Linked DNA regions of Caenorhabditis elegans. The protein of the gene in region 2 interacts with the protein of the main gene of each other region in a biochemical or structural test. Each region holds a gene or a part of one and is shown on either strand. Other genes may lie near its edges.

The links. The genes of interacting proteins can lie anywhere in the genome.
Region 1: of the proteins of nlp-49 (region 2) and seb-3, one has a biochemical effect on the other in vitro, tested with the Caenorhabditis elegans proteins (2 studies listed by BioGRID, with this or other methods).

What each region holds. Positions count from the first base shown.
Region 1 is NC_003284.9:15,024,151-15,027,907, reverse strand, and holds the start of seb-3 (G_PROTEIN_RECEP_F2_4 domain-containing protein), read right to left. Parts: upstream 1,601-3,757; 5' UTR 1,587-1,600; coding exon 1,510-1,586; intron 1,204-1,509; coding exon 1,082-1,203; intron 160-1,081; exon of another isoform or gene 32-159; intron 1-31.
Region 2 is NC_003284.9:5,902,597-5,905,946, forward strand, and holds nlp-49 (Neuropeptide-Like Protein), read left to right. Parts: upstream 1-2,056; 5' UTR 2,057-2,073; coding exon 2,074-2,133; intron 2,134-2,179; coding exon 2,180-2,252; intron 2,253-2,299; coding exon 2,300-2,385; 3' UTR 2,386-2,749; downstream 2,750-3,350.

The DNA of each region.
Region 1 (3,757 bases), 9.1 Mb from region 2:
AATTTTCCCTACACAATTTTACAAAATACTAGCGGCTAGAAGAAAAAAGCAGGCAAAGTTTTGAGTGTTGCGCTCTGCCTTTTTTTTTCTCTTTGTTTTTCGCACTAGCTGCCGGAAGCATCGGCGTTGCGTCGAGTTTGATGAATGACTAAGATAAAAGTATCACCAGAAACGAGCAAAAACGCTTCTCGATTTTTTTTTTTCGAGGAATCCATCGGCTTAAAACCGAGTGGAAGGCATTCGTGTCTTTGTGGTTTGACGTGTGTTCCAGGAGTTGAGCTTTTTATAAATGGCTCTAGATAAACATAGCAAACTACAGAGCAATCGGTCAGAAAGTTCATGTGAGCTCGCTCAAAAGAACGGGAAGATGAGGATCTAATAAAAGACAACAACTAAAAACAGGAGCCAAGACAAACTAATTGTACATTAATTGAAACATGTCTTAACAGTTGAGCAGATTATGTAAAATATTGGAATACTTAAAGGTGGAGTAGCGTCAGTGGGGATTTTTTGTTGGCCGACTTCCTAAATTATGAGTTACTGAACACCCATAGCTTGCTGAATAGCTCCCAATAGCAACATGTGCACATTATCACATGTTAAGGGCTAGTGGAGCTACAGCTTTTAATTTTTGAAAATTACTACACTGATACTTTGAAAGATCATCTTCTTAATAGGTCACTACAAGAAATTTAGCTGCATACGGGCACTGTGAACCAGAAAAAAGTAGATCTGAAATTGCTTTCAGGAAATTTTAATTTTTCAAATTTTCTGGGCAAAGTCATGTAAAAATTTTCAGTCAGAACATAGCTAAAAGTTATTTTCAACCACACAATTATTTCAGAAACAAATCTAATTTCAGAAGTCTACTTTTTATTCTTCCAATACCATTGATGTACTCATAATACACTTGCTAACCCTTCATGAAAAAAAAAACGTCCCATTCAATTAAGAAACAAATCAACGATTTACTTTTTTTGTTTTTCTAACCTTCATGGAGTATCTGAAGCGTTCATCAGTACCTAATCGCAAATTGCGGAAGTATTTTTCAACGCTTCCGTTTTTAGAAATTTCAACAAACCTTTAATTTCTTCGCACCCAGGAATTGCAGTGCAAAATGTGAATGGGCAGTCTCGGGTCATCTGCTGTCCAATATGTGCACTTGCCCAACATAATGATTTGTCAAAGTCAACTGAACAACCTCTGAAATGGCATAAATTTAATAATTCCTAATGATTAAATTTAACATTTTGAAACCTACAGGCTAAAATAAATAAATCAATTATTCACGTGGTGCCAGGTATGATCTACAAAAAATGCGGGAATTTTTCGCTTAAAAAATGTGACGTCACCACATTCTTAACCATGCTAAATCAGTTGAGAACTCTGCGTCTGTTCTCCCGCACTTTTTGTAGATCTACGTAGATCAAGTCGATATGCGACACTCTGACACCACGTGAGTTTGAAACTAGAACCTTTAAAAAAACTGAACACTGGAACTTGACCCACCCCGGATTATACGAACTGTTTTCCAGTTTTTTCAATTCTTGGCAGGCTGCATACTCGGCTCGTATAATACTTGTCATTGAGCAACAAGTTTCTGAAAGGTTGACAATGTAGGAAGAAGAAATCTGCGCAAAAGGACTGAAAATGACAATAACACGTCGAGTTCATAGTGGGTGGCAAAGAAGGGGTGAAAAAGGGAGGGGATGATGCTCCGGGCAAAAGAGGCAAAAGAGGGGGGGGGGGGGGGACAAAACTATTTTATTTTAGTGAGATGAAGAAAAAAAAAGAGAAAAAAGAGTGAATAAAACAAGTAATGGTGCGGCACGACCCGACGCCCTGAATGAAAATTGAGCCGTTAGTAGTAGCACCATTGAGATCTGTGAGAAAACAAAGAGCAGTCACAGAAAAGCCAATGGCTTACAGATTTCTAGGATGCCCGAGCAAAGGGCAATTGAGATTAGGCAACAATTTAGAGATTGTCTGAGATTAATTATAACTTGACATGTCTGCTTGCAAATCACAAACATAATAACAGATCTAGATATTCCTAAAGTTGGTTTCACGGATGTAAGAAGTCGATTTAGCAGCAGCAAAAATAAATATAAATAAATATGAAACCGAGAATAAGAGCACCGATGTGGAATATATAGAGTCCGGTTTTTGCCAGAACCTTCAAAGTATTTTGAAATGGTGAGGAAAGAAAGGATTACACGCCTCACTGCCAGATCCTGATTCATGGGTTTCCTTTTGTCATATAAGGTCTAAGAACCCACTAAAAAAGAGGCGACCAAGAACTCTTCAAAAAAAAAAAGAGGAAACTACATTCATTAGTCCCTTTTCACGGCGTGGAAATAATACTTCTAGGTTTACTCGCAATAAAAATAAGACTCGAATAGAAAAGGCTCAAACACCAATTGGAATAGGGAGGGGGGGGGGGGGGGGGGGGGGTGAAAAAGGAGTTGAAGTTGCTCAAATTGGCTTGGTGAAATGTTGAAAAGAAATGAAGAGGAAGGCGAACAAGCCGACCGAACAAGCTCGAACTTTTTGAATTAAAATGAACTTTTGCTGAGAGCAAAAATCCAAGCATAAGAAAGAACACGCCAACTGTCGGCTGCCCCCCCCCCCCCCCCCAAAAAAATTGTTTATTCTTAAAGATATTAAAAAGTTGCTTCTCAGGAAAATGAAGATAGATTGGCCTGCATAAAAAGTTGTTGTTGTTGTAGTATTCCCGGGTATTAAAGTGAAGAAATGTCGTGTAATTACCAAATGATTGGAAATGCAGATGCAAATGATCGGACAACCAATAGATGATTAGCTGGGTAAAGCTTACACGTAGGTTTAGGAGTTGTATGAAGTTAAAGCATTAAAGAAGGAGTAGCTTCAAAGGGGGTTTGTTTGAATACACTCATTATAGTCAAATGTGGGCGGAAATCACAAAAACGTGTACTTTTGAACATTTTCAAACAAGTCAGTTTCGGAAAATTTTCAAACAAAAAACTGGCCGTTTGAAAAAAAAATTGGGCATCGCATGTTTGAACCTCTACAATGTTGATTAAAAAAATTGAAATGTAACTTAAAGGTGGAGTAGCGCCAGTTACTGTCAAAACGTGACAGTTACTCAGTTTTTGCCACTCATAATTTTGGAAGTCGACCTGAAAAAAAAAATTTTCTACACTTTTTATACTGTAATTTTGTTTTAATTATTTGTATTAAAACATTGTAGGGGTCGGAACATGTGGCATTTCTTTGAAATTCCTCAAAAGCTCATATTTTTCAAAATTTTGGCAGTTTGCAAAAACTTCGGAAATTATGAAAAATCATTTTTGGAGTGTTTTATTATGATATTTGGTCGTTTTGAATCACGATAGATTTAGATTTAGATTTAGACAAAATCCCCACTGACGCTACTCAACCTTTAAATAGGAACGTCTTAGAAAACCAACAAATTTTAGTTGCCTTCTTTTTTATGAACTTATGAAATGCGAAAAGTAAGTAATTGCACTTTTAACTTTAATGAAACAATTTTACAAGAAATGTTAAAATGTATTCATGGTGTTTAATTAATTACTGTTACGATATTTTGCCATATTGGCGTTTCTTAAGCCAGAATTCTTAGTTGACATGTTTGAAAATTATACGAAAAAGGAAAAACCTCACAATTTTTAATTCAAATCATAAGAAAATTGGGTGTTTTTTTTCATCTTGAAGATAATATTTCCATTATTTTAGAAATTGAGTGTACTGTTGATGC
Region 2 (3,350 bases):
TTGCAAATCTTCTTTATTATTATTTCATGGTTTTCATTAGCTGATGAAGACTTTTTCTTTGGTCCTAACAATATGTTTCTTGTTCAATTTTCATATTTCAACCCCGTTGATCTTTTCAATACTAAAACATTTTTTAGTTAAAGATCTAAAATAAAACTTTACTATACTTAATGCTCGTTACAAATTAAGTTCATTCAAAGTTCGTCATTGTTTCTATTTTCCAAAGTGTTTTCCAAAGTTCATTAAAACATGGTAATGACCAGTTGAGTGGGTTGTTGGAACGTTCTCAGTTTATTTATAAATGAGTTTTTGCTTTCGAAAAGCTCACCGATTAAAATATCTTGACAAAACTTTCTGACCTTACTGACCTTAGAATAACAACCGGCAATTTACAATAGAAGTATTATTTCTATGACAAATCTAAAAGTTATACACGGAAAAACAAACAATCGAAGCTGAAAGAACATTTAATGATTCTAAAGAGTAGTGTCACTTTATTGAAAGTAGTATTTTGTTTGAAAAATATAAAACTGCAGTTCAGCAAAAAAGAGCTGAGAAATGAAATTTGAGAATGGCAAAAGGTAAGCACGTTGTTAATTTTCGATCAAAGCGGTGTGTTAGTGATGTGCTCATCATGCGTCTATAATGTTGATGCTTCCAGCTTCCTAATAAACCACTCGAAAATTAATTCTTAACGATCATCATAATATTCTTCGTAATTGAAAAAAACTGAATTTTTATATTAATAATGTTGCTCTGATAACTGAAATCAATTTATGTCCAATAATTTTCCAATCTAAATGAAAAAATGTAACGATAAAGACTATTACTTTAATGAAAAAGTCCTTGAAAATTTTTAGCCAATTAGAAAATTATACGCTTAATTTATAAACGACAGTAATTACAAAAATGAAATTTCTAACTCATTTTGCTTACAATTTTTCGAAGATTTATGCTAATAAAAGGTGAAGAAAGGTGAAGGAGGAAATGATTACAACACATTTTTATTGTGCCAAATTAACCAAACATCATAATAAAACTTTTCGAACAAATTTTTAAAATTTTTTGATTTTCGTAGTGAGCACTGAGTTGGCGTCACTTTTCGAGATATCTGAACATAGTCGCAAGATTGAACGTGTTGGAACCTGTTTGTTTGAACACTTTTGAATTATAAATATATTGAAAATAATAAGAGCATACATAGCAACATTTTTTTATCAACGACTTTCGAAAAATTGGTGCAAACTGAGTATTTGACTGAAAGTAAAAATAATTTCTAAACCCCACCTTTAAATCAAGCTCGATTTGAAAATATGCCGAAATCCCTTTGAAAGATGTCTCATGACTTTCCTAACATACAAACCACTACATATAATACTTAATTATTTATCGACCACCATTCGATCATAACTAACAATATGATGTATTTGGGTGGTTGTGTTGTATTCGACGCCCAACACTTGTGGTAGGCGTAATTTGATTGCATCTGGTGCCAGAGAGGGTCCGGCATCTTCTTTGATAATCAACATTCCTATAGACGTGTTAATACGATTTAGCGCAAACACAAAGGGCACATGTGGCAATATTGCGATATGGAAAATGATAGAATGCGTCAATGGCTCTTATAAAAACCGTCGACTCGACGCGTTTTCAACTCATTCTTATCATGGTTTTCTGTGTGTTGTCTGCATTTTCTCGCACCAAATCTGTTTCCTTTTCCGCTCCGTCATTTTTCAATAAACTTCCGACTTTTCCGGATGAATTCGTCAGAGCAAGTGGCGCTTTCTTGGAAAAAGGAAAAAAAATCAGATTTCTTCCTCCATTCCGTGTCTCTAGATGTCCACAATTAAGCTTGGGATTGTTCGTCAGTGACTCCAAACCCCCGGCTTTTCCATTCATTGAGAGCAAAAGCCCCGCCCCAAGTCGCTAACATTCACATCATGTTTTTCAATCTCAACATGTCATTCTTCAACTCGGCGCCGTCTCGTTTTTGCTCGTCATCTTTTTAGACTTTTGTTAATCTAATCTTAAATTGTTTAATTTTTCTAATTTCCAGGTAAAATCACATCAAAAATGATGAAGTGGCTGCTTTTGGCTGTTTTCTGCATTGCTGCCTATGCCTGGGCTGATGGGGTATGTTCCAATATTGAACCAAAGTTTATTCTTTAATATAATTCAGACTGAGGATTCAAATATCGACCAACTGATGTCGCGAGTATACCGAACTGTGTTGCTCAAGTCTAAGAGAAGCCGTGAGTGAATATTGAACCTAAATTCAGCAAAATCGTCAATTTTTCAGCATCCATGGGACTTTCTCTGGCAGAGTACATGGCTTCACCACAGGGAGGAGATAACTTCCATTTCATGCCTTCCGGGAGAAAGTAAACTGACAATTCATCCTTAACCCCTAATATCAAATTCCCATCATCCTCTCATATTGTGGCTCTGACTGTAATTAAAGGAAACTAATTTTCTGTGTGTCTCTCTTACTCTCTCTCTCTCTTTTCATTTTTTTTACTATTCTCTCTCTCATTCCCTCCCCCATTGTCTGTCGCTGACTTGTGTCGAAACTGAAAGATCTCAAATTAAAATCAACCTGTTCCTGAAAACTAAAAAAAACAAAGCTGCTCCTCAATTTGTATACGTTTATTGATATTCGTCAGTTTCTTGATATATCTAGTCTTCATTTTCTCCATTTCTCTCCACAACAAATTGAAGCTCCATTGACCCAATAAATAATTTCATCGTTACGTCATATAGAGATTTTTTTTGTTACTCATACATCCGGATACGTTTATTAGGAACGGAAGGAAAAGTCGCATTAAAAGGAAACGTGAAATGCAAATATGAACGGTAAGCTGATCTTCGTTAGTTTCCGCCTCCAAAAATTATTTGGCTTGCAATGCTTTCTTTCTGGAAAAACTTAAACATGTAAAAACAATAATGGGATGAAAGAAACTGTATACGAAAATGTGGTCAATTGTTTTTTTAAAATGAAATTGAAATTTGTGAAAATTAACTACGTTTTTCTATCTGATAAAATTTCTTAGGGGGGGAGGGGGCAGGATAGCTCAGTCAATAATGGTGGCCGCTAGCAATCTGGAGATGACGATTCCAAGTCCGGCCTCGCCCCTTAGGTTCACCCAGACTCTATTGGGAATGGAGCAATCCACGACTGGATTATCGGCCACAGTCCCCGGCTAGGACGTCGCTTGAATTATAGCCCAGTGAAAGCTCCACCAGGCACAAAATTGCTAAATTTACCCAAAAGCTGATTTTTTCCAATGTTAGACGAAAAAATAAAGTGTTAGACGAAAAAAAAATGTACGACACGCTCCCATCCCCTAGGG